Xenopus tropicalis: one gene and its partners. The protein of the gene in region 7 interacts with the protein of the main gene of each other region in a biochemical or structural test. Links are inferred from orthologs where the notes say so. Each region holds a gene or a part of one and is shown on either strand. Other genes may lie near its edges. The genes, in order: itk, src, shc1, ptk6, fer, syk and erbb3.

Region 1 (4,458 bases), on a different chromosome or scaffold from region 7:
TTACTGTGCGTCATGGGGATAGCGCCGTGTGCCGTTAAATAGGGATACAATACCGGATAATTCCCACACCCCACCGCACGCACCTTCAAACAGCTCCGTTCCTCCAATACAACACACCGCCAATCTCCGCCCTACACCAAACACTTCCGAGTAGTCACTAGCAACTTCCGGAAGAGGTACGTCACGTTACGTCAGCGCGCTTTCCAGAGCGTCCATTACCTGTTACTATTGAACAATGGCGTGTTACTGCGCAGGCGCTGGAAGCGTTTAACGTGGTGCCAACTGCAGGGGGAGCCGTGTGGCTTCCCAAAAAGAATGTTTTATAAGCAGTATATGTTTGGCTGGTTATAGTCTTTGTACTACTGGTTGTTGCTCTTAAAAGCAAAAACAAGCTGGTTTAAAAGATGTAGTGAACATGAGTCTGCTACAGTATAGGTTCATGGCTTTCTACCCACCCATAGAATTCAAAACAATTCCCATATTAAATAGAACATATTTGTAGGTGCTGGACATACATAAAACATTTTTTAAATGTTCATCTTTATTCTCTTTATGGTGTTTATGGTCTGGACCTTTCATTTTAAAATTGAGATACAATAATGCGTATTTTGTGTTTCTAGGGCCAGTGGCACAATGAGAGGTTCCATGTGGGAAATTGCTGAAATTACTTGTGGAAACTGGAGGGCAGTCTGTGAGAAGACTGGGAGCAGCCTATGAAGAGACAGAGGAGCCTGTTATCAGCATGTGAGGTCTGCCCCTGTCAGTGCTTTGAGAGTGAGCACTAAGGGAATGCTCTTGCTTTTGCAGCAGGGGTATAAATAAATGGCCCCTACAGTGTGGCATTGCCATGATGCTGAAGGGCCAGATATACTGCTGGTGTACAAGTATGCTTGGGAGCTGTGAGCGGTAATTTAGTGATGCCCCTGCTACAAGTGTAGGAACACTTAAGCCCCCCATACACGGGCCGATAGAAGCTGCCGATATGGGTCCCTTGGACCGATTCAGCAGCTAATCGGTCCGTGTATGGGAAGAAACGAGCGGCCTGGCCAACCGATATCTGGCCTGAAATTGTCCAGATATTGATTGGCCAGGTTAGAAAATCCAGTCGGATCGGGGACCGCATCGGCTCGTTGATGCGGCCCCCGAACCGACTGCCCCATGGCCGCAACTGTAATCCGATCGTTTGGCCCCAGGGCCAAACGATCGGATTATTTTTTTTTAAAGCAACTTCCTACCCGATATCGCACACCCGTAGGTGGGGATATCGGGTAAAGATCCGCTCGCTTGGCGACATCGCCAAGCGAGCGGATCTTATAGTGTATGGGGACCTTAAGGGCCGTGGTAGACGGGGAGATAAGTTGCCTGCGAGTAATCTCCCTGATATGCCATTCCACTGGCTTGAATGTAAATCGCTGGTGGGATGGCATATGCCTTGAGAGGAAACTTCCGCGATTACGGGAAATCACGTCACTGCATATGCCATCTCACCGGCGATTTACATTTAAGCCGGTGGGATGGCATATGGGGGAGATAAATCGCCCGCAACTAGGGAGATTTGTCACGGGCGACTAATCTCCCCATCTGCCACGGCCCTAAGGGACACAAAATCACACCTTTAGTGCACATTTTCAAAGCACTTGTGACAGCCTCTGGGTAGTTGTGTTATTAGGGGCATAGTGTTGCACAGTCATCAGGACCAGAATGGAATTCAAAATAGGCCCTGGCATTTTAAGTACATAAAGGCCCAAAACAGCCCTCTAAATAGTGACTGTCTATGATAGATTACAGCAGTCCCTGTGGCATATGCCAGACTCCACAGATTGCCAGTCCAGGCCTGTCATTTATAATGCTAAAGGGACAGATAGTCTATTGGTAGGCACAGGGCAAATATCCTGCTGTGGTATATAGTGCCAGAAAGTCATGCTGATGGATAAAGATGATATTGGAGGGATACACCACTGGGCAGACAACAAATGGAAGCATGGAGAGCTGTGGTAGGTGGATTGCTGATTTGGGTTGAGCTTGGGCTGGGTAATGCAAGCTTATTTGGGCATAATTATTGCTATGGAGGATGATCTGCTTTGGCAAGAGCTGAGTTCAAGTGGAGAATATTTGGCACGGCCAAAGCTTAACCAGCTTAACCAGAATGCTTGAGAGTCCCGGGCCACATGGTAAGTTCACTATATGACCCTACTTGGTGCAGGTAACTACAGGGAAGCATATAGTAATTAAAGTGCAAGTCTTGAGTCACTGCTGATTCTTTTTGGGGGGGGGGTAAGGGCTCACAACATTATTCTCTGCCCCCCAGTATTATGGCGCTATTTACTGACTATAATTCACCAATATGGTACTTGTGGCCCTCCATATTGATACATAAGACATGTAACCACTTTTGTAAAGTTACATAAGACATGTATGACTAAAGCCTTCGAAATATTTAGTCCATTATAAGTTAGTTCTTGTGCTTTTTTGTGAGCAATGCACTTGTTATTAAGGTATACAGCAAAGCAGTGGGTAGAAAAATGTGTGAAATGTGCTGGAGAGAGCCCCTGCTGTACACAAGCAACTTAATAGAAAAAAGAAGGATGTGGTTGAAGCTTGAGGTCATAAAACAAGTTTTTCACCTTGCTCTGCTCACTGATGTCTCGATAAGTGACTCCCCCGCTCTCTATGGCAGCACCCCTTCCCCTACTCTGCCTTCTTTTTGAGTATTTCAGCTAACAGTCTCATGCAGTCATGTGATTGTTCATCCTCTCTCTTAGAGTGTTTTCTTAAAGGACTAGGTGGTCTCATTTAATTTTTCTTGAAAAAAGTAAAAAACAAATATTTTCTATGTGATCTGCCTCGGGGTCTTCTGGTGACTCTGGGAACAGGGTCTGGTATCCCAGATGAATAACCCTGTTATCCTGCAACAACAGCTTATTAAGAAGTCCCAGCAGAAGAGAAGGACGTCCCCAGCTAACTACAAGTCCAGGATCTTCATCCTGACCCACTCTTCACTCAACTACTACGAGCATCGGCAAGGGGTGAGCGAATGTAGCACAAGGGTTTGTAGGGCATTAGGTTGGAATGTGGTTTCATTCTTTGGCTTCTTTGTTCACAGTGTTCCTACAAACAAGGGTCTGTGTGAATGTTGTATTGATATGAATGCTTGTGTGTCTTATTAGGGTTGGAGCTACATCCTTGTCTTTCTCTTTCTGCCCCATCTTACTCCCTGGGTTTTTCTCTTGTCTTTATCATACCAGTAAGGACCCATGTAGCAATGTTGGTTATATCCTTGACATGCGCTAAGCTTAGTGCTTCAGCAGTTTTGTCTTACTGTACCAAAGGACTTCATAAATATATTTTAATCTTTTGACCTCAGTACAAAACTGTGCTAACAGTGTTAACAAAAATGATAGGCCTCTAAATAAACACCTGCCTCAATATTGGATGTCCTGACTGCAGGCATATGCATTCATAACGCAAACCTCCTTGGGCTTTATTCCACTATTCTGATTCATAGTCCAGATAAAGTTATTTCAGTTTTATAACTACAACTTCCAGCATTCTTCTTGCTGGGGCATTCTTGCTGGAAGTTGTATTTCTCTAACAGCTGTTTCATCATTAGTTGCTTATATCTGCTCATTATCATAAACCATGTTACATTGTTTATTATGATATAGTAGAGTAACTGGAGGTCATTTAAGAAAAAGAAAAAAAAATTGCAAGGTGCAAAGCCAATCAGCAGCAAGTGCAGGCCAGCCCTGTCTTTACTGCCTGCCATACAGGCAGTTGCGTTTCCATCTGAAAAGTTTGTTTTTGTTGCCCTCCTGATGCAGTGGGCTTGGGGCAAATGTCTTTTCTGACCCAGCCCTTTGTGGTTTGTACCTGTATTTTAGTAATCATGTAATCATGTTGGCTTGAAGTGTATATTTTACAGTTATAACATTAACACAGTTACAAATTAAATGGTGGTGGAAAAAACACACATGTCCATCAATGTGAACCTTTTTGTAATTTCTGCCTTCTAGCATCTCCTGTTTGCCCTAGAGGGGGGGAAATTTTCTTCTTAACTACAAAAAGGGCAATCGAGCCAGTACCTGCATCCAGTGGTGTATCTACAATGTGCCTCAGGCACCCCTTCCCCATAAAAAAAATCTTTGGAGGGGCACGGCATGCAAAGCAAGCCCTACCTGGCCCCCGCATGCTCCTGTACCCTGCTCGTGCCACGTTAGGTAGGAGAGAGCAGTTGGGGAAGGGGGATTTCTAGCACCTACGGAAGAAGCAGATCCCATGGTCTGGGCCCCCCACAACCACATATAACCTCTATAAAGCTGTTAATTTTGGTAACATTTGGTAAACATTTATTTTTATTGTTATTAAATGTAAGCAATAAAGTGGCATACCTCCCTATTGGTAACCCCTAACTAATTATCTTCTGCAAGTGGGGTAGACAAACACTAAATGATGCCCCTC
Region 2 (4,631 bases), on a different chromosome or scaffold from region 7:
TTTAGAAATAATTTTAAACCTCCTGGCAATCTTTCATTAATGAATACAGGAATGTCAATTTTTAGATTTTCCTTCGTTGTACAAATAACAGATTTTGGCCTGAGGATCCCTTTAAGTTCATCCCTTTGTGGGGTTGTAAGTGGGAGGGAGAGATGTGAGTTTAACCAAGAATGGCAGGCAGGCTGTAACACGTAGCTGGCTCGGAAGGCTCAGAGTACACAGGGTGAGAGAGGGGAGTACACTCCAGATTGCATTCTGATAGACTCAACAGGGATTGAGGCACGTGTGAAGGTGAGCTGGGATTTAGCTGGCTCTAAGGCAACTGTAGCCTCCACCTAGTACAAAACTACAACTCCCATCACCCTCGGGAGTTGTAGCTTTGCACTAGAGGGAGGCCAGAGCATAAATTTTTGGTTGAAAAGACCTGCTGATTTTATCTAAAGGTTATTTGCTAAGATACATTCATGTGTCAGTATATTTGATAAGCCGATGATAACAAAGCCTGGCACACGTTGCCCTTTACCCAGCCTAGCTACATAGGCCCTTCCCAACAACCTAGCATACATACCCCTGTATCAGAAGCCTTTCACTTGTACCAACAGTCTGGTACATATAGCCCTTTACATACAGTGTAGCAAATATACCTCTTTGACTACAGCCTGGCACATGTATCATTGTACTCAGAGCTTGAGAACTCACATACATATACCTACAGCCTGGCACATATACCACTGTACCCACTGCTTGGCACTTATGTACCTATACCTATAGCCTGGCACATATACCACTGTACCCGCTGCTTGGCACTTATGTACCTATACCTTCAGCCTGGCACATATACCACTGTACCCGCTGCTTGGCACTTATGTACCTATACCTTCAGCCTGGCACATATACCACTGTACCTGCTGCTTGGCCCTTATGTACCTATACCTACAGCCTGGCACATATACTACTGTACCCGCTGCTTGGCACTTATGTACCTATACCTTCAGCCTGGCACATATATCACTGTACCTGTTGCTTGGCCCTTATGTACCTATACCTACAGCCTGGCACATATACCACTGTACCCACTGCTTGGCACTTATGTACCTATACCTACAGCCTGGCACATATATCACTGTACCTGTTGCTTGGCCCTTATGTACCTATACCTACAGCCTGGCACATATACCACTGTACCCGCTGCTTGGCACTTATGTACCTATACCTACAGCCTGGTAAACAGCCCCTTCCTTTATCTAAAGCCTGGCACATATACCACTGTACCCACTGCTTGGCACTCATGTACCTATACCTACAGCTAGGGATGCACTGAATTGAATCAGAACACTAAAAATCATGTGCCTTTTTGTCATATAAACACAGAAGTTGAAATTTTTTCAGCGCAACCTGCGCACGAGGCTCGCTTTAACCCTTCCCTATCCTAATTTACATATGCTTGGTATTTGGCCGAATCCTTTACGAAGGACACTGAGTTTGACGGAATCTGAAAATAGTGGGTTTGGTGCATCCTACGTATAACCTAGCACCCTTAGCCCTTTACCTACAACCTGGCACTAACAAGGCGACATTGGAAAGTTATGATCATGGCCCTAAAGCCTCCTGCTTTAAAAGCTGCACAGCAAATGGTTAAAAGGGGGAGGGATACCCATTTGCTTGAGTACATTCATAAACATTTACCCTTGCCATTTGCTAATTGTAGCAATCACATAGTTAAAAAAAAAAACAATGCTGCCAGCTCTGTATGACATTTAATACCAATCTAAATTTAGATATAAACTATAATAATTGTGCAACCCACTGCCATAGTAGCTGTTTGACCATTGTGTGTGTTTATATGCAGAATTGTTCCACATACATACACAGGTACATAGCATAGTTTTGCTCCCCAGAACTACCCATACCTATAGAGCTGGGTTGAATTTTAACTCTCAACTTCAACCAGTAGCAGGATGGCCTTTGGTTTATTATAGAGAGGACTCACAAGTGTACAATCTATGATAACCCACCATGCACGCCTTGTACCCTTCACCACTCCTCCATGCATGCCCTGTACTCTCCAGCCATCCTTTACTCCCTGTACCATTTACCCACACACACCCTGTACCCTCCTGCATTCCCCCATACATGCCCTGTACCCTCCTGCATTCCCCCATACATGCCCTGTACCCTCCTGCATTCCCCCCATACATGCCCTGTATACTATAGCATTCCCCCCATACATGCCCTGTATACTATAGCATTCCCCCCATACATGCCCTGTATACTATAGCATTCCCCCCATACATGCCCTGTATACTATAGCATTCCCCCCATACATGCCCTGTATACTATAGCATTCCCCCCATACATGCCCTGTATACTATAGCATTCCCCCCATACATGCCCTGTATACTATAGCATTCCCCCCATACATGCCCTGTATACTATAGCATTCCCCCCATACATGCCCTGTATACTATAGCATTCCCCCATACATGCCCTGTATACTATAGAATTCCCCCCATCCATGCCCAGCACACCCAATATTGCTAACTAGCCCCTTCACTCCCCAATATTCTCTCAACTCCAGACTTGCCCAGTGACTCCCAGCATGCCCCCATCTCAAAATCATGTGTTAAATGTACGCTAGCTTATTGGCCCAGAAGTTTAACCCCTGATGTTCGCAGGAAACATGCTGCACTTACCCTGACCATTAAAGGGCCTGTGTGCACAACATATACACAGGCATACCCACCGAATACCGGGCCAGAGTGAGATTTAAAGGCCCATATGGTAGCAGTGCTCCAAATACCCCCAAAGGCGTTACATACACCATTCCCAAGCAGCCTATAGCGCCCCCATTCTCTGCACCCGTGGTACTATCCTACGCCCCCTAGCGGCACGGTGCAGCCACTACTTACCTTGTCCTGCCTGAGATATCGGGAGATTCCACTCTCCGGGAACCCCCCTCACACAGAGGGGGGCAAGAGCGCTCTTCTCGTACCCACTATCTCCCGGTGCCTCTCCCCACACATCAGATTCCTCCTGGGCCGGGAAGTTTGGGGATCTACTCAGCGTACGGTTCACGCCCGGCCGGCTCCAGCTCCCTCCTCCCCTCCGCCTGTGCTGCCCTCCCCCGGGTCCGCCTGTCCCTCCTCCCACTGAATCAGCCCTGGCCCAGCCTGTCACTCCCGTTGGGGGGTCTCTGTACTGCCCCAGTGACACCCAGCCTGCTCTCTCACCACAGTCCGGGGCGCTTATTAATTCGGCCTGTCCCTTTTTGTCTTTCCCCTTTGTCCTTCCCCTTTCATTTGCATTATTCCCCTCTCAGATCCCACCTCTAATCCCAACACTTCCCCCTCTCTCCTCCTCCCCTCCCAGAGCTAGCCTGGCTTCCCTTGTCTTCCTTTCTCTCATTCTTCCCTGGTGAGTCGCACCGACTGATTCACTCAACTAGAGGAATTACACAACCCTATACTTCTCCCCATACACCCAGCACCCACCCCTCTAGTACTTCTCCCCATACACCCAGCACCCACCCCTCTAGTACTTCTCCCCATACACCCAGCACCCACCCCTCTAGTACTTCTCCCCATACACCCAGCACCCACCCCTCTAGTACTTCTCCCCATACACCCAGCACCCACCCCTCTAGTACTTCTCCCCATACACCCAGCACCCACCCCTCTAGTACTTCTCCCCATACACCCAGCACCCACCCCTCTAGTACTTCTCCCCATACACCCAGCACCCACCCCTCTAGTACTTCTCCCCATACACCCAGCATTACATTAACATTTATTTATAAAGCGCCCACCCCTCTAGTACTTCTCCCCATACACCCAGCACCCACCTCTCTAGTACTTCTCCCCATACACCCAGCATTACATTAACATTTATTTATAAAGCGCCCACCCCTCTAGTACTTCTCCCCATACACCCAGCACCCACCCCTCTATTACTTCTCCCCATACACCCAGCACCCACCTCTCTAGTACTTCTCCCCATACACCCAGCACCCACCCCTCTAGTACTTCTCCCCATACACCCAGCACCCACCCCTCTAGTACTTCTCCCCATACACCCAGCACCCACCTCTCTAGTACTTCTCCCCATACACCCAGCACCCACCCCTCTAGTACTTCTTCCCATACACCCAGCACCCACCTCTCTAGTACTTCTCCCCATACACCCAGCACCCACCCCTCTAGTACTTCTCCCCATACACCCAGCACCCACCCCTCTAGTACTTCTCCCCATACACCCAGCACCCACCTCTCTAGTACTTCTCCCCATACACCCAGCACCCACCTCTCTAGTACTTCTACCCATACACCCAGCACCCACCCCTCTAGTACTTCTCCCCATACACCCAGCACCCACCTCTCTAGTACTTCTCCCCATACACCAAGCTCACATGTCTCTAGTACTTCACCCCATACACCCAGCACCCGCGCCTCTAGTACTTCACCCCATGCACCCAGCACTCCCACCTCTAGTACTTTTCCCTAGCTCTTTGTGAACTATTGTTTGGATGACTGTTATCTGGTTGCTAAGCCTCCAATGACCCTAGCAACCAGGTAGTGATACCAGTGGAGATTAAATAGGAAAGCTTGAGCAGTGCATTGTAATGTATCACCCTG
Region 3 (4,093 bases), on a different chromosome or scaffold from region 7:
TGGGCCCCCTTAGCCCATAACAAGGTTACAGATATATAGAAACATTGGGGTAACAGTCACCCTGCTATAGTTCCAGGGGTACCCAGGGCACAAATAAGCACTCACCCCAAATCCCCCCTAACTGGCCTTCAGGCTGGGCCCCCTTAGCCCATAACAAGGTTACAGATATATAGAAACATTGGGGTAACAGTCACCCTGCTATAGTTCCAGGGGTACCCAGGGCACAAATAAGCACTCACCCCAAATCCCCCCTAACTGGCCTTCAGGCTGGGCCCCCTTAGCCCATAACAAGGTTACAGATATATAGAAACATTGGGGTAACAGTCACCCCGCTATAGTTCCAGGGGTACCCAGGGCACAAATAAGCACTCGCCCCAAATCCCCCCCTAACTGGCCTTCAGGCTGGGCCCCCTTAGCCCATAACAAGGTTACAGATATATAGAAACATTGGGGTAACAGTCACCCCGCTATAGTTCCAGGGGTACCCAGGGCACAAATAAGCACTCACCCCAAATCCCCCCTAACTGGCCTTCAGGCTGGGCCCCCTTAGCCCATAACAAGGTTACAGATATATAGAAACATTGGGGTAACAGTCACCCCGCTATAGTTCCAGGGGTACCCAGGGCACAAATAAGCACTCGCCCCAAATCCCCCCCTAACTGGCCTTCAGGCTGGGCCCCCTTAGCCCATAACAAGGTTACAGATATATAGAAACATTGGGGTAACAGTCACCCCGCTATAGTTCCAGGGGTACCCAGGGCACAAATAAGCACTCACCCCAAATCCCCCCCTAACTGGCCTTCAGGCTGGGCCCCCTTAGCCCATAACAAGGTTACAGATATATAGAAACATTGGGGTAACAGTCACCCTGCTATAGTTCCAGGGGTACCCAGGGCACAAATAAGCACTCACCCCAAATCCCCCCCTAACTGGCCTTCAGGCTGGGCCCCCTTAGCCCATAACAAGGTTACAGATATATAGAAACATTTGGGTAACAGTCACCCCGCTATAGTTCCAGGGGTACCCCTAACTGGCCTTCAGGCTGGGCCCCTAGCTCCCCATTCCATAGTTAGTCCCTAAAGACAAGTGACTGGGAATATATATATTTTATTAGTGTTCTGTGCCCCCCCCACATTATTCCATGCTGGTTGAGCCCCCCAGGCTTAGATGAACTGAGGGCTGTGATGTATGGGGAGACTGTTGCAAGCAGTAGATAGTCAGCTCCGGGGCCCAGTAGTGAGTAGGAGGGGGGGGGTGGGTTTCATTGAGAGGAGGAAGTGAGGGGGGGGCAGTAGCTGGGTGAGTCAGCAGAGCGCGTGCTATTGGCCAGCAGCAGCCTCCTTCTCCTGGGAGCCAGTGAATAGGTAATCAGGCAGCCCCAGCTCCATTCATCCCGACTCCCACTCACCGTCCCTCACTCACACTCGCACACAGTGCAAGGCTCCCACCCCCCCTGCACCTGAGCTCTCTCCCTGCCCCAGAGATGGGTAGGAAGGCAGGTGGAATGGCTCCCTCCCCCGGCCCGGTGTCCATCTGCACATTTTCCCACAAGGATTAGCCCCCCCCCTCGCTGACCTTTCCCCCAGAGGAGCCCCCAGCCGCACATCGGAGATATAAATATATGGATTTATTTCCCCCCCCCCTCAGCATTTCCTCTGCTGCCTTCCTGCTCGGTGCTGCCGGCTCTCCCATATCCTCTCTCCGTAGGGTGCCGGGGCCCCGCAGGCCAGGGGAGAGGTACCCACCCATCAGCGGCCGTGTAGGGAATGTATTGATCAGTGGGAGGGGGCCCCCATGCACAGTGAGTGGGACATGCACCAAGTGACACTCTCCTCTCTCTGGCTCCCGGATCAGAACCTGCTGGTCTCCCGCTGGATTCTTCTCTCCCCGGCACTCAAGCCAATGCCCCAGCCCGGCTCCTGGCTGCCCCTTTCTAGCTGATTGGAGGGGTACCAATGTGGGGTTCTGGAGGGAGATCCGTGTATACAGGTTTGCCCGGTACCGGACTATGAGAACCAGACCCCCCATTGCTGTCGAGTGCAAGCTGGCAGCTGGCATCATGGATCTGCTTCCCAAAACCAAATACAATCACCTTCGCAATGAGTCGGTCAGCTCGGTGGAAGAGGCTTTGGCCGCTGGGCCCCTCAGCCCTTCGGTGGAAATCATGGTGTCCCTGCCCAGCTCTGCCTCGTCTTCCTCCCTTGCCCCAATGCTGCCGCTGGCCGAGCTGTCCTCTGAGTCGGAGGAGAGCCCCACCACTCTGTGCTCCTTCTTCCCCAAAATGGCCAACCTGAAACTTTCCAACCCGGCCAACCTGCTTAACCTGCGCAGCTTCTCTTCCTCCATGGGGGGGAAGGAGAGCGCCAGCCCCGGGGAGCAAGGGGACACCCCCAATGAAGGCAGTAGCCCCGAATCAGGCCGGACTTTCACTGTTTTCTCACAGGATATGAACAAACTGAGCTGCGGGCGAAAGTCCCGGGTGGAAGGAGGCCAACTGGCCGGCGACGAATGGACCCGGCACGGCAGCTTTGTCAATAAGCCCACCCGAGGCTGGCTGCACCCCGACGACAAGGTCATGGGCCCCGGGGTTCCCTATCTGGTCAGGGTAAGGCCATGTTTCTCTTTCTTGGGCTTTGTTTCTCTGGGCTACCAGGGCTCTCTGTGCCCCTACCCTCTAGTTCCAGCCTCTACTCCTACCTACTGTCTGTACTCCTACCCTCTAGTCCTACCTGCTGTCTGTGCCCCTACCCTCTAGTTCTAGCCTCTACTCCTACCTACTGTCTGTGCTCCTACCCTCTAGTCCTACCTGCTGTCTGTGCCCCTACCCTCTAGTCCTAGCCTCTACTCCTACCTACTGTCTGTGCTCCTACCCTCTACTCCTACCTACTGTCTGTGCTCCTACCCTCTAGTCCTACCTGCTGTCTGTGCCCCTACCCTCTAGTCCTAGCCTCTACTCCTACCTACTGTCTGTACTCCTACCCTCTACTCCTACCTGCTGTCTGTGCCCCTACCCTCTAGTCCTACCTGCTGTCTGTGCCCCTACCCTCTAGTCCTACCTGCTGTCTGTGCCCCTACCCTCTAGTCCCAGCCTCTACCCTCTACTCCTACCTGCTGTCTGTGCCCCTACCCTCTAGTCCCAGCCTCTATCCTCTACTCCTACCTGCTGTCTGTGCCCCTACCCTCTAGTCCCAGCCTCTATCCTCTACTCCTACCTGCTGTCTGTGCCCCTACCCTCTAGTCCCAGCCTCTATCCTCTACTCCTACCTGCTGTCTGTGCCCCTACCCTCTAGTCCCAGCCTCTATCCTCTACTCCTACCTGCTGTCTGTGCCCCTACCCTCTAGTCCCAGCCTCTATCCTCTACTCCTACCTGCTGTCTGTGCCCCTACCCTCTAGTCCCAGCCTCTACCCTCTACTCCTACCTGCTGTCTGTGCCCCTACCCTCTAGTCCCAGCCTCTATCCTCTACTCCTACCTGCTGTCTGTGCTCCTACCCTCTAGTCCCAGCTCCTACCCTCTAGTCCCAGCTCCTACCCTCTAGTCCCAGCTCCTACCCTCTAGTCCCAGCTCCTACCCTCTAGTCCCAGCTCCTACCCTCTACTCCTACCTACTGTCTGTGCCCCTACCCTCTAGTCCCAGCTCCTACCCTCTACTCCTACCTACTGTCTGTGCCCCTACCCTCTAGTCCCAGCTCCTACCCTCTACTCCTACCTACTGTCTGTGCCCCTACCCTCTAGTCCCAGCTCCTACCCTCTACTCCTACCTACTGTCTGTGCTCCTACCCTCTAGTCCCAGCTCCTACCCTCTACTCCTACCTACTGTCTGTGCTCCTACCCTCTAGTCCCAGCTCCTACCCTCTACTCCTACTTGCTGTCTGTGCTCCTACCCTCTAGTCCCAACCTCTACCCTCTACTCCTACCTGCTGTCTGTGCCCCTACCCTCTAGTCCCAACCTCTACCCTCTACTCCTACCTACTGTCTGTGCCCCTACCCTCTAGTCCCAACCTCTACCCTCTACTCCTACCTACTGTCTGTGCCCCTACCCTCTAGTCCCAATCTCTACCCTCTACTCCTACCTGCTGTCTGTGCCCCTACCC
Region 4 (4,471 bases), on a different chromosome or scaffold from region 7:
TAAATAAAGGTCCTGCTGGGAGTTCTTCAGTTAAGTACTCGTCCCATTTGGTGTAGCCGGCGGGATAGACCAGTAGGTGCCGCGTTGGGCTGTGTAACCAAGTTTTAAAATGGCAAAAAGAGTGCAAATATACCAAGTATCTGCCCAACATAGAGCTGCTTTGGGCCCCCAAAGGGCGGTACCATCGCTGCCAATAGCCCAGAGGGCAGAACTAGCGCACTTGGTAGGACTTTATGGCATAGGGCAGAAGGCATAATGGTATTTCTTTTCAGGGAAATTTTATGACAAGTGATTGAAAGGAGCCAAGAAGCACAGCCTGTCCTGGTGCTTAGTGCCGGGCTGCCCTTTCCAGAGGTGGCAGCAGTGGGGCAGTCTGGGCTAGGGGTATCATCCAAGAACTGAGCCACTGGCTGCCATGCAGGAGAAAGTAGCCAGTACAAAGGCCACTACAAGGGCCAGTACAAGGACCAGTACAAGTGCCACTACAAGGGCCAGTACAAGGACCAGTACAAGGGCCAGTCAAAGGGCCAGTACAAGGACCAGTACAAGGGCCAGACAAAGGGCCAGCACAAGGGCCAATATATGGACAGTACAAGGACCAATACATGGACAGTACAAGGGCCAGTACAAGGGCCAGTACAAGGGCCAATACATGGACAGTACAAGGGCCAGTCAGTACAAGGGCCAGTACAAGGGCCAGTCAGTACAAGGGCCAGTACAAGGGCCAGTACAAGCCAGCCAGACAACTGGAAGGATTTACCTAGACCAGGCAGGTTATCTGCATTAAAGCTGGAACTGCAGTATCTGGACATCTATGGGGTAAAAAGGCACTAATTTGCCCAGGTGCAGTAACCCATAGCAACCAATCAGCAGGAAGCATTTACTGGTCACCTGTTTAAAAGCAAAACTCTTATTAATTGCTATTGGTTACTGCTCCTGGGCAAACTTAGTGACTTTTATTACATATGGGGATAGGGAGCCACTGACCCGGCCCGAGAATGGTTCCAACCTGGGGGATCCACAGTTAAACTAGAGGAACATATGGCCATGTTCTATGAATACATAACAGAATAAATGCAAGGACGTAGTCTCAGAACACGACTGGGTTCTAGGTCCATTGCTTGTACCAATTATAAACCTTAAAAATAGTTTAAAATTTTTATTTATTTCAATCTATTAAAAACATTAACAGCCGGGGCTATCCACATGGGGCTGTTAATAAAGTTTTTACTATTTTTGAGTAGTGCAGACGTTTATAATTGGTACATGTATTACCCATTCTGGTCACTAGGGGGCGATACCTACTCTATATAAAGTGTTTACTAAAAATGAAAATTCCTTTGTTCCTGTTCCTTTTTTTCTAGTTACATTGCTGTCTGTCTGTCACACAAAAATAATAAGTGGGAGGAGTTATATACACCAATTGGAGATCAGATAACTATTGGGAGAGATAAGGGCAATAATGTTCCAGGCAGAATTAGAGAGTCAGCAGCTGAACTCTGAGATTGTAATTGGACTTCTGTATTGCCAGTGTCATTGGCATTGCAATGTTACATGTAACATGGAGCAGTGTCGGAATGGGGTGTCGGGGACCCACCAGGGGGGAATATGATACAGCAGACCCCATAGTCTAGGCTCCCCACAACCATAGTTTTTGCTGTATTGTAATTACCCCACTGAATAAAGGACAGAGATCAGAAGTGTAACTAGCAAATGGGCAAGGGGGTTGGCTTGGATCTGGGCCATGATAAAGAATACATTGGGCTGTCTAACATGGAGCTTGTCTAACATGGAGCTTGTCTAACATGGAGCTTGTCTAACATGGAGCTTGTCTAACATGGAGCTTGTCTAACATGGAGTTTGTCTAACATGGAGCTTGTCTAACATGGAGCTTGTCTAACATGGAGCTTGTTTATCATGGAACTTGTGTAACATGGAGCTTGTCTAACATGGAGCTTGTCTAACATGGAGTTTGTCTAACATGGAGCTTGTCTAACATGGAGCTTGCCTAACATGGAGCTTGTTTAACATGGATCTTGTCTAACATGGAGCTTGTCTAACATGGAGCTTGTGTAACATGGAGCTTGTTTAACATAGAGGTTGTCTAACATAGAGTTTGTCTAACATTGAGCTTGCCTAACATGGAGCTTGTCTAACATGGAGCTTGCCTAACATGGAGCTTGTCTTACATGGAGCTTGTCTAACATTGAGCTTGTTTATCATGGAGCTTGTTTATCATGGAGCTTGTTTATCATGGAGCTTGTCTAACATGGAGCTTGTCTAACATGGAGCTTGTCTAACATGGAGCTTGTTTATCATGGAACTTGTGTAACATGGAGCTTGTCTAACATGGAGCTTGTTTAACATAGAGGTTGTCTAACATAGAGTTTGTCTAACATTGAGCTTGCCTAACATGGAGCTTGTTTAACATAGAGGTTGTCTAACATAGAGTTTGTCTAACATGGAGCTTGTCTAACATGGAGCTTGTCTAACATGGAGCTTGTTTATCATGGAGCTTGTCTAACATGGAGCTTGTCTAACATGGAGCTTGTTTAACATAGAGGTTGTCTAACATAGAGTTTGTCTAACATTGAGCTTGCCTAACATGGAGCTTGCCTAACATGGAGCTTGTTTAACATGGATCTTGTCTAACATGGAGCTTGTCTTACATGGAGCTTGTCTAACATGGAGCTTGTTTATCATGGAGCTTGTTTATCATGTAGCTTGTCTAACATGGAGCTTGTCTAACATGGAGCTTGTTTATCATGGAGCTTGTCTAACATGGAGCTTGTTTATCATGGAGCTTGTTTATCATGGAGCTTGTCTAACATGGAGCTTGTTTATCATGGAGCTTGTCTAACATGGAGCTTGTCTAACATGGAGCTTGTCTAACATGGAGCTTGTTTATCATGGAGCTTGTCTAACATGGAGCTTGCACCAGAGTAATTGTCCTAGATGGTATGGCAATGATACTGATTATTAGAGCCATGGGGAGTTGCAGTTTGACACTGCCATAAGGCCGAGCCCATCCCTGCATTACATAGAGCTTGAGAGATATTTCTGGCATTTCCTTGTTTAGTTCTAAGTAGCAGCCAAGTGTCCCACACCTTGTCCTTGTCACAGGCTCCCCGCCCCTAATCTCGCCCTCAGGTATGTGGCAGAGCAGCGCGGGACGAGCACGGGATGAGGAAGTAAGGTGTTTCCAGCAGGTTGGACTCTCACGTTCATTGGGAGGGAAGGCCCCACAGTCCCTCCATTGCTCTGCTTCCCTCACTTCCACTTTCTTCTCCTCCAACGCCCTGAGAGTGGGGGCCAATGTCCTGACTCAGAGTCATTTCAGGTCACCTTGTCCTCTTCTCCAGGGCAGGCAGAGGTGGGACGAGAAGCCCGAGACCCTTGCTTTGATATTCCCTGGGAACTGGTTGGATGGCAACGCCAAGATGAGCCATCGGCCAAAGCGTTTCGTCAGTCTCTGGGACTTCAAGGCTGAAGCGCCGGAGGAATTAAGCTTCAAAGTTGGAGACGTCTTCGAAGTTCTGGACAGAAGTGGAGACTGGTGGCACGTGCAGAAGCTGAAGGGGGACGGGAAGGGAAAGCCCGAGGTGGGATACGTCCCATACAATTTCCTGGCAGAGGAAGGAACAGTGGAAGAGCAGGAGTAAGTAAGGCAATAATGGGGGGCAATAATGGGGGCAATAATGGGGGCAAATCATGTTATAGGGATAATATTGCTAAAATGCAAGTTAATGACACAGAGAGGTTCAACATTTAGCTAAGAAATGACTCACATCATGAGGTGCCCGGGGCTCTGGGGTAACTGCACTTTCCTGGGCCCCCCGAAATGTAATGTGGGGTAACTGCACTTTCCTGGGTCCCCCGAAATGCAAAGTGGGGTAACTGCACTTTCCTTGGCCCCCGAAATGTAACGTGGGGTAACTGCACTTTCCTGGGCCCCCCCCGAAATGTAACGTGGGGTAACTGCACTTTCCTGGGCCCCCTGAAATGCAAAGTGGGGTAACTGAGCTTTCCTGGGCCCCCCGAAATGCAAAGTGGGGTAACTGCACTTTCCTGGGCCCCCCCCGAAATGTAACGTGGGGTAACTGCACTTTCCTGGGCCCCCTGAAATGCAAAGTGGGGTAACTGCGCTTTCCTGGGCCCCCGAAATGCAAAGTGGGGTAACTGCACTTTCCTGGGCCCCCCCCGAAATGTAACATGGGGTAACTGCACTTTCCTGGGCCCCCTGAAATGCAAAGTGGGGTAACTGCATTTTCCTGGGCCCCCTGAAATACAAAGTGGGGTAACTGTGCTCTACTGGACCCCCCGAAATGCAAAGTGGGGTAACTGCACTTTCCTGGGTCCCCTGAAATGCAAAGTGGGGTAACTGCACTTTCCTGGGCCCCCTGAAATGCAAAGTGGGGTAACTGTGCTTTCCTGGGCCCCCGAAATGCAAAGTGGGGTAACTGCGCTTTCC
Region 5 (4,549 bases), on a different chromosome or scaffold from region 7:
CAGATTTTACCTATTGACTCTAAATGGGGAAATTCAACCTGCTGCCATTCTGACAGTATTAACACCAGGGTCCCCAAACTTTTCACAGTTGGTCACTAGAGGACTACAGTTTTAGTTTTGAAAAAGTGGGCGGGCCGCCAACAGCCAATCAGATTTCACCCATAGACTTCATATGTTTAAATTTAAACTGCGACCATTCTTTAAATATTAATACTAAGGTCTCCAAACTTTGCAGAGCTAGTCACCTGGTAACTGCAGTTCAGAGTTAGAAAAAGTGGGTGGAGCCAACAACAGCCAATCAGATTTTACCTATTGATTTTCAATGGGAAATGCAACCTGCTGCCATTCTCACAGTATTAACACCAGGGAACTGCATTTTTAGATTTTAAAAAGTGGGTGGAGCCACCAACAGCCAATCAGACTTCACCTATTGAATTTTTTTTTGGTTTATATTTAAAATGTTGCTTTGCTCACACTATTTATGTCAGGGTTCCCAAACAAGTGGGAGGAGCCACCAACAGCCAATCCATTTCCACCCATTAGATTTCCTTGGTTTATATTTAAACTGATGCCATTATTTAAATATTAATTCCAGGGTTGTTAAACTTTCCAGAGTTAGTCACTGGGTATTTGCCGTTCAAAGTTAGAAAAAAGTGGGCGGAGCCACCAACAGGCAATCACATTTCACCTATATAATTTCAATGGTGAAGTGTAAAATGCTGTCAGTCTCACAATTTTTATGCCCAAGTCCCCAAAATTTGCAAAGTTGGTCACTGGGGGACTGCAGTTCAAAAAATAGGAAAAGTGGGTTGGGCCACTAACAGCCAATCAGATTTCATCCATTGAATTTTATTGGTTTAAATTTAAAATGCTGCCATTCTCACACTATTTATGCCAGAGTGCCCACTGTTTGTCACTGGGTGACTTCGACTCAAGGTTAAAAAAAGGGGGCGGGGTCACAACCACCAATCATAATTCACCTATTGACTTTTATTGGTTTAAATTTTAACTATTAATCCTAGGGTCACGAAACTTTGCAGAGTTAGTCACTGGGTAACTGCAGTTCCAGGTTAGAAAAAGGGGGTGGAGCCACCAACCACCAATCAGATGTCACTCGTTGACTTTCAGTGGGGAAATTTAAATTGCGGCCATTCAGACACTATTAAAACCAGGGTCCCCAAACTTTGCACAGTGGTTTTTACTGTATAACTGTGATCCAAGGTTAGAGAAAGTGGGCGGAGCCCATTCAGTGACTTCATATTTTTCAACCCAACATGAAGTTTGTTCTCAAACTTACTTTTCTAGGTATAACATGTACTTCTGCCTAAATATCTGCAGCAGAGACTAGTGGCACATACTGCTTGCAACCACTAGGAACAATACTTCTTTGTTGCATTTTGTCCCTTGTACAAGTAGGACATCCAGTGAGCCCAGAAAAGACTCAGTTTTCCTCATTCCTACATTTAGGAGCGGACTTGGTGATGGCAGGGGCATTTTTTTATTCCTTTCAGTTATGCTCCACAAAAAAAGCAGCAGCTTCCGTGTCCTATACAGACTCAGCATCTTACACGCTCAGCAATCATTCGCTCCATCACTTCTCATTCTCCCCCAGGCGGGTACGTCGGCGTGCCTGCGCTCCCACTCACAGTGTCCGTAACGGTAGTCTCATCTCGCGAGAGTATGACGGGAGTGTGGGAGCGCTGGCCGGCAGAGCCGAGATGATGGACATTTAAACAGTTATCCGGGGCTGGGGGCTGTGTTATGAGATTCGGGAGTGTCCCGCGGAAAGCGGGATAGGCAGGCGGTACGTATCGGGCGGCACTCTGGGCCTCTCCACATTTACCCTTTCCTTGGAATCTGTCGCTATTATTGTGCGCTAGTAGCACTTTGTACGCCTTTCTGGCTTAGCTGTAACATTGTGGTTCGCTTGCTGCTTAGCAGTGGGATCCCATATTGATGGCAGATAATGCGTGCCGTACTTATCAGGCTTGGGAGTCAGACTCGCCGGCATTGTGGCAGCTTTGGCGTCCATGGTGTTCATTAGCGCAGGAGGCGGTGCCTTCTAACTCTTGGGAATGGGATGGGTGCAGCTTGTATACACCTTGTATAAAGTCAATAAGCCCGTGTGTATTATTCCCTTATTATTAGTTTGGGGGGGGGGGTGAACCCAAAATAGGGAGATGTTTTCTGCAGCCAAAATAGCAGCAAATATTGCTATTTGGAAATAATTTGTATTTATTTACTTTCTTTCTAAAAGTGACATTCAAAGTGATACAGCTGTACATATTCTGCTGCCTTTTCTCCCTCTTTGTTATTTACTATTCTGCGCCTCTCTGTCTTGAACATGGTCATATGGTTTGCTGAGGTTAGTTACACATTGCCCACATTCATTCTAAGGCTATACTTCTAGTTTTTATTTTTTTCTTTTCATTCAGGCCCACTGTTTTATACCTGTAATTACAATGCTTAGGGGTAAGTGGCACTACAATAACTAGATATGTTCCAATATACAAATATTTGGCCTGATACTGCATTTCTACAAGTGAATGTAACAGTCGAAAAATGCCATTGTCAACAGTGGTTGCCAGACGTTGTTGCTTCAAGTCCCTTCGGAAGTCTAACATTTGGTCCCAGCTCTTAGTTTACAATAAGGTTACAGATATAGAAAAACATTTATGTTTTAGCTGTTTAGTCAGACTTCACAGAATATCAAGGACAGCATATAACTCTTCACCCCAATTCCCACCCTCCACAGACATTCAAGGCTGAATTGTCAGATATGGAGGTAGAAACAATAGGATTTCTACCTCCTTCTTCTGATTCAGCCCTGAAGGTCGATTTTGATTGGGCGCCAAAATCTTTTAACCCGCCCGATTGGGGAGTCGACCGATATCCACAGCCTTTTGCGATATCGGTTAAACACGCACCGAATATCGTACGAAACAAGGTATGGCCAGCTTTAGTGTTCAAGCTAAGCACTGCCTACCTCTGTCCCAGCCTGACGTTTTTGGTACCACTGGGTGTACATTCTACCCTGTGACAAGTATAAAGGGCTAGTGAAAATGGTGTAAAATTGTTAACATATAATTAAAGTATGTATATCTTTATGTAGTGCTAATTGTATATTCAGTGTTGTAGATTGTTACATTCACTTGTAGAAATGCAGTATCGGGCCAAATATCCATGTTAACAAGGCTAATTAGTAGTAGAAAGAGCCATGCCCTAGGTAGGGCATGGCACAATTGGGGGTGAAAATGACATCTGATTTTTTTTTGTCTTCCTTTCAGATATAAAATGAGGCCTCTAAAATACGGCTAGTGTTTTAAATTGTGAAATAAGCTGGAGTTTGTAATGTCTTACTATTCTGTGCTAGTACAGATGTGTTTAGATTGTATTAACACTTAGCGAGAAATTAATACCTGTTCTTCCAGTGTCTCAGCGAAACCATTTTGTTATGACATATACACATTATGCATACTGTAAACAAGTCAGTAATTGCACTGTATAGCGCTAGGACCTGTCTCTCACCTGCCTGCTCTAGCTGTGGTTGTTTCACTTGCCCTACCAGGCTTGGCTGATCAAATAGCTAATATAAGGCTGATGTATGAGGTGTAAGGGTATTAGTTAACGTCAAAAGCCTTTAAATCTTTTTGGAAGGGTTGCGGAATTCAAGCAGATAGTAGCTGCAGCTAGACTTTTTCATATGACATTGTGACATATGATTTATGGTATACCTGGCAGAGAGTATGCCAGGTACATATAGCTTTTTGGAAGACTGGTAAATATTCTTGGAGGGTAAATATTCTTGATGCATATTACATCTGTGAAGGGAAGCAGAGGGGCTGATTCACATGAATGTCTAATTGCAACATAGCAGTTAGCAACCTGTTAAATCTTTGCTTTTATTATGTAACTTGTAATCTACAAAAACTAATTATTGATTAATAATGCTTTGTAATATTAACTACCATGATGTAGTTTAGTACCTTTCCCAGTAAACATAATGGGTTTATTCCTTCTCATTCCTTGTTAATAACCCTCTGGTATGTATTACAGTAAAATTGAAATTGTAACTGATAAGATTTATTTTAAGGGGGCAGTGTCTGTATTTACCTTTATCATTACATTAAATAACATTAGCCAAGTAGTTAAGGATGTGAAAGAAAATGTAGCTACCATGTAAGATTTCAACAAATTCTAAACCCAAAGCCTAGACTTGGGGCTTGCTTAATATATTGTGCTTCCTGTGTCAGCTTCTGTAAAAGAAGCATGTGGTTAAGAGACAAGCCAACACTGCCTAATGCCAGTGCAAGCTCTGTAATCTTATGTTCTATTTGTCCCTATTGCCATGCACGCCCGCAAAGTATAGGATATTACTCCGTGATAATAAAAAGCATTGGTTGGTCCCCATAACTAAGTTTAAAATAGTTAAGGAAAGTTTAACACAGGCAGGGATTGCTTTACGTTATGTTTTTAGGCTTTTTTACTGGCCCAAGGCACCCACAGCCCTTACATATTTAAGATCTGTACCTCTGAAGATACTCCCCAT
Region 6 (3,965 bases), on a different chromosome or scaffold from region 7:
AATTACAACTCCCAGCGTTACCAGGAGATAAAGATTACAGTTGGAGAGCCCTGCACAAGGCATTCCTGCTATTATGTTGCTGTTCAGCAGCTCTCCACTTTGGAATCTGGACTTTTCTCTGACATTAGCAAACAGAAATATTCAGGCATAGTGGAGCCACTTATATCTGCAATATGGTATATATGGATTTTATATGATGACATTTAGTAGCAAACTCTATTTTCTTCTTGAGATCAAATATGATTTGCTGCCTCTAATTCTATAGATGTTTAGAAATGAGGGCATGAGATGGTGGGGATCACAACCCAGTGCAATCAACCTTTCACCACAGAATACAATGAAATTAGAATTACACATATTTTACATCATTATGTTAAAGCTATTGGAGCAGCATAGGCATTTTGCAATAATCATATAACAAATAACCAAATTTAAAAAAAAATGCTTATATATCCTTTTTCCCCAATTTGAGCACAGGTTTGTAACACAGTCTATTTGTTCATTTTTTTTTTTTTTTGCTTTAACTATGTAGAATAGTCCATGAAATCTAATTAAATGTCTTCATTCTGTTATAGAAAGCTTTATATTTAAACGTGCACCATGTCCAGCACCTCCTACCCAACATCAAATGGTAAGTAATGCATGCATAACATCAATTTGTTCATTACAACATCACAAAGGCCATTCTCTGCTGGTAAGTGCCATCCAAGTACTATAGACTTGTGTATTGCAACTACTAGAATGCTAAAAGTTTCATTATACGAAGCAAATTAGTCAAACCTATGTTTCCTTCATTAGCAGTAAGAAGGCAGATGCTATTTTGAGAAAGATGCCATCAAGGCAAACTTTGCTTTAACCATAAATCTAATGTAGGTGCCAGAAAGTAATCCAAATGCCCAATCACAGGCTATGTCAGATTATAATGGGGGTGGTGGGATGGTGAGGAGCATTCAACATAATTTCAATATAAAGGGCTTATGCCAATAATGCTTGCCACCTATTTAACCAAATAATTTATAGCTTTATAATTTAAAGGGGGGGGGGGTGTGAGGAGCATTCAACATAAAGGGCTTATGCCAATAATTCATGCCACCTAGTTAATGAAATAATTTATAGTTTTTTTCAGTACAGGTGAAGATAATCATTACATATAAAAAAAAATTGTCTAAGGATCACATTTTCAATACAAGCCCTGTGTATCTGATCCACATGGGTGTTTATTTCCATTAATTTTAAAGAATCCACACTGTAAGGTATAGACTGGGTGCTTGTGGTCTGTTGGGTTAACAAATGGAAAAGACAGGGTTGAAAGGAAGAGCATTACCAAGCAGCTTAATGCTGTGTGACTTTGTATTCAGTGGAACCTTGGATAATACATGTACAGTACCTGAAAGCTGGACAGAGAGACAGTAAATGCACTTGAATAAAAATACTATACTCTTTGAAAGTAATAGAGAATGTATGTTTTGAAAGTTTAGATAAAAAGTAAACATCTTATGCAAAGCCATATAATGCATGAAAATTGTTGGCAGTGACCCTAACTTCAGTTTTGTTATTACTGCCCCCCAGAGAGAATTTTCATTTTCAAATTGTAAAAAAAAAATGTTTTTTTTCTGGCAGCATGTTTAATGTTCCTCTCTGCCATTGTGGTTTCTAGAGTTGGTCAGCAGGTGGAATTATCTCGAGATTCAAATCCTACTCCTTCCCCAAGCCTGGCAACAAAAAGGTGCTCTGTACACACTATCTAAGGCTTTCCAAAATATAGACAGGCGCTAAATTAATGACTCAGCTTATTTACATTAAAGCAGCATTGCGGATTTCTGCATTATTTAGTTCTGCCAAGGCTGTCTTTAGTGGTGGGGGCCCAGGGCAGAGCAGTTTTTGTGGGAGCGTTATAAGACGTAGGACTATATCTGTGTAACTTAAATCCCCGGATCCATTGCTGAAATACTTTTCCCAGAATCACTTGACTGATGTCAGTGGGTCCTTGCTTTTGTATTTCAGAACAAATGAAGTCTAAATAACACTGATAAGTGTTACTGTCACCATGTTGCTTTACTATATCTGCTGTCCTACAGTCTCACTGTTTCTTCCCAGAATGTATTGTTCCTACTATTACATTCAGTGTTGCACTACCTTCTCTTCTATAAATTATACCGTGGTGTATTTCCTACCTAAAACCACTGCTTATGAGGCCCTACTATGTATGAGGCCCAGGGCAATTGCCCCTGCCCCACCTCACTAAAGACAGTAATGCAGTAGTTTTGTAGTTGTTGGTTAAGTTCAGATTTTTACATTCTTAAAATTAAAAATTAAAATAACAATTATCCTCTGAAGGGAAATGCTGTCATCTTCACAGTAAAAACTGCAGTTCTCAAAATGCCAAGAACTGTTGGCAGTCACTTCCCAATATGGAACTGTCTATGGGGGACAATAGATAGAGGGAACAAGTCCATCCGCCAGTATGAATCATGCCCATGCTTATTATAGCTTGTGCCTTAGGCAGTCTAACTGCCATACACTATAGATGTCTGCAGCCAACAGCTGTTCTAGGCATTGTATGCACCAATGCTTTCTCTGAGAAGCTTGTAAACATGATGCCATCGCTGTCCTGAGTTCCATTATGTTTAATATGGTTGTTAAGGGAACCCAAACAAATCTGAAGTCACTGTTTCCCCTAATCATTGGTTTTGGGTGGGGACTTCCAGAGAAAATATGAAATAATTATATTATGCCATTTTAACTGCAGCCTACACATAATTCAGTTGCAGAAATTATATATTTCTCCCTTCACATTCATTTAGCCACTTCTTCATCCGCTTGAAAACTGCTACAAACATCTTGTTTGTTTATTTATGAGCCAGCAGTGCTGCTTTAATATTACTAACTGTGTGGTAAGCTGCTAAAATTACATTAACCATTGATGTCGGTTTCTGCCCTCCACCTGCTATAGACTCAACTACCAGCTGACCTACTGAAGATGCTGGGATTTGTTGTTAATGACATTTGAAGGGCACGCATTTGACATCTCTGCTCTTAACACTCTGCTTTTGGCCCCTAGTGTGGTTTGAAAATAACACAAAACAAGTTGACATCAAAAAATTTGGAAAAAAGGGAAATCATGTATATTATCACAAATGTATCATGTGTCATAAAATATGTGCAGTATATTGATGTGGTGTCAGTGATTGCGGTCAGTGACAGAGATGTTACCACATAATTGACACCACAGAATCATAATATATAAGGAAGATTTTAATTGTTGGGAGGGCTCTTTAGTCTATAAATTCCAGAAATAAGAATGATATGTATAATATTTTTTTTCTGGTATTTGTCTGGCTTAACAAAAGCTCCATGTGTGCTAAAAAAAGAATGAAGTGGGCTTTTCCCAGATTAACTAACAGATAGAATCCAGGTTCTTATTAAAGAGATTTTCATTTGTGGTGAGCTTTGGAACCAGAATGGCCTTCTACTCAACCACCTAATTGGCCTCTATGTTAGTACCATGGCCATTTCTGCATGAGAGAGAATAGAATAGATTGAAGAGAGGAATGATAAAGTAGTAGACAACACCCTAAGGGAAAGAAGAAAATAGGAGAAAAATATCAGATGGGTTTAGAACGGGGAATAAGGGACCAAGGGGTGAAGGGAGAGATAAATTAAGGGCAGAAATCATAGAATGTATTGACAAGACAGTGTGGTACAAAAGTAAGTGAAGAGCAGCAGAAAAACCTATTGGAATGTGGTCTCTTGTCCTAAGGTTTCTAATTTGCTGGTGCCCAGGTTGGCCAGTTGGACACTGGCTCCTTTTTATTTACAGTTTTTTTTTCTTTTGCGAGTGTCAAATTCCCTGCAAGGGAAACAATGGGTAATATTTACTAAGATGCAAAAATACAGCTTGTCTATCTTCAACAAAGTTTTTTTCTGCAACACTGCAAATGTAATGTGCAGAACTATCAGGGGCA
Region 7 (3,965 bases):
CCACGTACCATAGCTCCATACGTCACTCTGATGAGTGTACTTCCCAAAGTGTATACTTTCCAGAGCCATCCATTTCACGGGAGTCTGCATAGTACCAAAAAAGGTACATTAAAAAAAAAATAAAAACAAAAGTACAATTTTAATCAAATCTCAAAAATTTTTCTCAGTGAACTGGATAGTTTGATTTTTTTCAGAATTTGATTATAAATCAGTGTATGTAGAAGTAAAATAAACAGATACAGGGGTATGTACAGGCCCAGCCTGGGATTCAAAATAGGCCCTGGGATTATAATTACACAGAGACCTAAACAGCCCCCATGAGCCCAATAAATAGTGACTCTTACAGGAGAAGGCTCTGGCATTTGCCAGAATCCACAGATTACCAGTCCAGGCCTGTCCACAAAAAAAAATCCAAAAACCAAAGCAGGTAAATTCCCCTGACACATCCATGCTAGAAACTATAATGCCGGATGCACCTAGAACAATTGTGTTAATTTAAAGCTTGTTGCTAAAAAACAACTGCAAACAGCATTAATGGACACCCTGCTGCTTGGTGATTCACCGGCCCTTGCAGTTGCAAAGGAATATGAACAAGGATATGAGAGCAGAAACCAGCATTGGAATATGCTTAGCTAGTAATAAGGTAAGGTTAGATATTAAGCAAATATTGTACTTATAAACATAGATGAGTGTGAAGGCAGAAGGGTACCTTGATCTCATTGTAGCAAAACTTCTTGTCATCTGGGTACAGCAAGTCTGCCACTCCATAGTCTGATACCTGCACCTGATTGACACTTTTCATAAGGACATTCCGAGCAGATAGGTTCCTATGAACCATTCGATGTTCCTCCAAGTAACACATACCCTACAGGAGAGAGGAAGGACACAATAGACAATGGATAGGGCAGGATAAATCATTATAATGATTTATATATGATATTACATTGTAACAAACAGAGATGGGAAATTATGTAAGTATAAATGTGAAATAACAGATTTAAATGGGGAATAATTTGATGAAAAGAGCAAGGGGGCTGTTTATCACTTTAGTTATTGTAACTGGTTGTATTACAACATTGTCTACCCAGCAACAACCTCTAGTGTGTCTGGGTATTCATATTCACGTTATAATATAACTTGTCAGTTTCTTGACAAATTTTCTGTAGCCCATTTAAGTAGAGCTGATATATGACAGTGCTTGCTTTGTTACACTACTGCCAGTTTATTCTGAATATTTACCTTTGCAATTTGCACACACCAGTTAAGAAGAAGCTGAGGACCAATGGCACCAGAATCCTTGTTTTTGCGCACGTGTTGAAGCAGCGATCCCATTGGCAGGTATGCTGTGACCAGCTGGAGCTGTGAGCCTGGGCATATCCCCAACAAACGCACAATGTAGGTATGGTCCAGGCTTCCAATTGCTAGCATGTGCTGTGGAGACAGGATAGCCTCAGAACCACCCAGTACAAGTGAGACCATACATTACCATGGCTACATAAACAGCATAGTAGTGCTACAAACAAATTCATAAGCTTGTTGAGCTGTGCTACTATGCCTGGAGTAACATTTACCTGTATCAGTCATACAAGGAAAAAATGCAGTATTAAAACTAATTACAGATAGCAAAAGTCTTAAAGGAGAATGGCAACCTTGAACAAAAGGTAGTATCTCCCGAAAGAACTCCTAAACCACCTAAACTACACCACTATCCCCCCCACAAATCTGCCCCATTTTCCATGCATGTTGATAAAGAGCAGAGTAGTGCAGCTTGGTCAAAGGGCACCATTATGTGCCGCTGAATTGCCGGTCTGGCTTTAACTGCAAATGCTCTGTGTTCGCAATCATTGGCACGAGAAGATTCAGTTTGGTGGGATGGTGCCCCCCACCCCGCTGTGCTAATTTCATTTTTATCAACATTTAGGGAAAACAGGGAGGACTGGATGGACAAACTTGTGTGGTTCCAGTGGAGGAGGGCTGTTTAACTGATACTACCTTCTATGCAAGCCATTAAATTCCTTTCCTTACAATTACTACTAGTTTTTATTTCACATGGTTTACATTCTACTGAGTGAACAAGAGAAGCAACTTACATCAGTAACTGCATGGAAGGTCTGGCGACCGGTCCGGTCTAGTATAACTTTAATACAGACAGGTATCTTGATCGACTCACCATCGGGTATCCAGACACCCTGCAAGAGAAAACCAAAAGGAAGGAAGTTAATAATACAAACGGTAACTCAATGAAAAGTCATTTTTGTTATACGGTGTTCCTCATGTTTTTCACCATTTTACTTCACACAGACATGTGGAATAATAAGATATAAACTGTGGTTCATGTCTGGCAAAACCCACCTAGAAATGAAGCCTCTAGCTCTGCACTAAACTGCATGTAAGGAAATCATATGTTTTTCATATCAGCAATGTAACTAAGCAGTAATAAGACACTCCCTTTTAAGCCTCCTGGAGGTTTGATATTATTGCAAACCGTCTATCTGTAGTAATAACTCATATCAACCGGGCTTGCTTTTTTTCAAGAAATACCATGACCTGGATGAATGAGAACCTTCACAGCCATAGCAAACAGTCCACATACTGAAATGCACATCTATGAAGGCTCCAGGAGGGCCCCCGTGTTCTCTAGGGCAGGGCCTGCTGTCTCTAATTTTTTATGCTGATTTTTGTGTATGTTCATCTAAAGGTGGGGCCCTTTAACTGGCCTACCCGACTGATACCTGTCTGAAAATCAGGCAGATGTCAATCAGGCAAGTTTAAAAATCTCATCAGGATGAGAAACACATCGGTGCATTGATCCTTGTCCAAACGGTCTGTCAGTGTGATCTGATTCTTTAGCCCAAAAGCGAAACTATCAGATTAGTCCAATATCGCCTACCTTAAGGTGGGCATACCAGGGGAAAGTCCTTTCCGTGTATGGCCAGCTTTAAGGGCATTTTTTTCTGTACTTTACTGAAGTGTAGGCATACATGGGCTGAGCTGTTGGTATTGTATACAGCTAATTGGCATGGCCGCCTTTCTACTGTTCTGTTTCGCTGGGACTGATAACCCAAACAATCAGAACAGCAGGTAGCAAAGAGAAATACTGCCACATATAGTTTGCAGATTACATTGTCAAAAGTATATGGATTTGTCAGGCCAATGTGTACATATATATATATATATAATATATTTACATCATACAAAAGATTTTAAAGATATTTGTATTGCCAGCTTAGCATGTCAGGTTTGGATTTTGAGACCTATGGTACATCACCAGCCAACAGCAGCAGCAAGGCTTTATCCTGGACAAGTGGACTAATTTACGCCAGTAGTTTTCTCTTGGGTTTGTGAGTTATTCCAAATTTTGGTCCATGTTTTCTGGAAGCACAGTCTGTATTGACATACATATTCTCTTGTTTAAATATCAATCATGATACTACAAAGCACCCCTAGGTGTGAGAAATACCTAATATGACTAGTGCATATTGCCGTAATTAACATTATTATCATTATTAGAGCCACCAAAATGATTTCCCTTTAATCGTATTTGCCCATCACATGGCATTTCAGGTGACCAAGACAAAGCATTAGATAAACAACAAGTTCTTCTACAGGCTCAGGTTTCTGTCTCCTACATACAGTGACAGATACTTACCTTATGCACTGTGCCAAATACTCCGGAGCCCAAGATCTTCAGTTTCTTCAGTTCTGTGTCTTTGAAGAGCCGAGCCTGCACGGTGTTTGTTTTTTCTGAAGGATCCAGCATATCCAAACACTGCAGAAAGAGTGGGATTTAATTACACTTTGTCTTCATTATATGCGCCATTTTTCCTCATTATGTATTTTTCAGCTGATTTTGTCCAATGCCAAGGCAAAATATACTATCTCAGTTTATCAAATGTAAACTTTATAGAAGTCTATGGTAAAAACTGGGACTGAGTTGGGAGAAAAGTTTTTTCTCCTCAAATTGA

What was found.
Region 1: the proteins of erbb3 (region 7) and itk form a complex in vitro, tested with the Homo sapiens proteins (2 studies listed by BioGRID and IntAct, with this or other methods). The link is inferred for Xenopus tropicalis from reciprocal best matches to the Homo sapiens genes ERBB3 and ITK.
Region 2: the proteins of erbb3 (region 7) and src form a complex in vitro, tested with the Homo sapiens proteins (2 studies listed by BioGRID and IntAct, with this or other methods). The link is inferred for Xenopus tropicalis from reciprocal best matches to the Homo sapiens genes ERBB3 and SRC.
Region 3: the proteins of erbb3 (region 7) and shc1 form a complex in vitro, tested with the Homo sapiens proteins (2 studies listed by BioGRID and IntAct, with this or other methods). The link is inferred for Xenopus tropicalis from reciprocal best matches to the Homo sapiens genes ERBB3 and SHC1.
Region 4: the proteins of erbb3 (region 7) and ptk6 form a complex in vitro, tested with the Homo sapiens proteins (2 studies listed by BioGRID and IntAct, with this or other methods). The link is inferred for Xenopus tropicalis from reciprocal best matches to the Homo sapiens genes ERBB3 and PTK6.
Region 5: the proteins of erbb3 (region 7) and fer form a complex in vitro, tested with the Homo sapiens proteins (2 studies listed by BioGRID and IntAct, with this or other methods). The link is inferred for Xenopus tropicalis from reciprocal best matches to the Homo sapiens genes ERBB3 and FER.
Region 6: the proteins of erbb3 (region 7) and syk form a complex in vitro, tested with the Homo sapiens proteins (2 studies listed by BioGRID and IntAct, with this or other methods). The link is inferred for Xenopus tropicalis from reciprocal best matches to the Homo sapiens genes ERBB3 and SYK.

Annotation. Positions count from the first base shown.
Region 1 is NC_030679.2:14,179,224-14,183,681, reverse strand, and holds the start of itk (tyrosine-protein kinase ITK/TSK), read left to right. Parts: upstream 1-1,472; 5' UTR 1,473-2,888; coding exon 2,889-3,026; intron 3,027-4,458. UniProt on the Homo sapiens protein: Tyrosine kinase that plays an essential role in regulation of the adaptive immune response. Regulates the development, function and differentiation of conventional T-cells and nonconventional NKT-cells.
Region 2 is NC_030686.2:39,476,869-39,481,499, forward strand, and holds the start of src (proto-oncogene tyrosine-protein kinase Src), read right to left. Parts: upstream 3,072-4,631; 5' UTR 2,910-3,071; intron 2,779-2,909; exon of another isoform or gene 2,703-2,778; coding exon of another isoform or gene 2,694-2,702; intron 1-2,693. UniProt on the Homo sapiens protein: Non-receptor protein tyrosine kinase which is activated following engagement of many different classes of cellular receptors including immune response receptors, integrins and other adhesion receptors, receptor protein tyrosine kinases, G protein-coupled receptors as well as cytokine receptors.
Region 3 is NC_030684.2:145,083,079-145,087,171, forward strand, and holds the start of shc1 (SHC-transforming protein 1), read left to right. Parts: upstream 1-1,293; 5' UTR 1,294-2,008; coding exon 2,009-2,605; intron 2,606-4,093. UniProt on the Homo sapiens protein: Signaling adapter that couples activated growth factor receptors to signaling pathways. Participates in a signaling cascade initiated by activated KIT and KITLG/SCF.
Region 4 is NC_030686.2:1,941,706-1,946,176, forward strand, and holds the start of ptk6 (protein-tyrosine kinase 6), read left to right. Parts: upstream 1-1,549; 5' UTR 1,550-3,152; coding exon 3,153-3,658; intron 3,659-4,471. UniProt on the Homo sapiens protein: Non-receptor tyrosine-protein kinase implicated in the regulation of a variety of signaling pathways that control the differentiation and maintenance of normal epithelia, as well as tumor growth.
Region 5 is NC_030677.2:174,160,534-174,165,082, reverse strand, and holds the start of fer (tyrosine-protein kinase Fer), read left to right. Parts: upstream 1-1,581; 5' UTR 1,582-1,804; intron 1,805-4,549. UniProt on the Homo sapiens protein: Tyrosine-protein kinase that acts downstream of cell surface receptors for growth factors and plays a role in the regulation of the actin cytoskeleton, microtubule assembly, lamellipodia formation, cell adhesion, cell migration and chemotaxis.
Region 6 is NC_030677.2:138,464,884-138,468,848, forward strand, and holds part of syk (tyrosine-protein kinase SYK), read left to right. Parts: intron 1-575; coding exon 576-631; intron 632-1,657; coding exon 1,658-1,726; intron 1,727-3,965. UniProt on the Homo sapiens protein: Non-receptor tyrosine kinase which mediates signal transduction downstream of a variety of transmembrane receptors including classical immunoreceptors like the B-cell receptor (BCR).
Region 7 is NC_030678.2:137,683,507-137,687,471, forward strand, and holds part of erbb3 (receptor tyrosine-protein kinase erbB-3), read right to left. Parts: intron 3,770-3,965; coding exon 3,650-3,769; intron 2,190-3,649; coding exon 2,091-2,189; intron 1,432-2,090; coding exon 1,240-1,431; intron 866-1,239; coding exon 710-865; intron 85-709; coding exon 9-84; intron 1-8. UniProt on the Homo sapiens protein: Tyrosine-protein kinase that plays an essential role as cell surface receptor for neuregulins.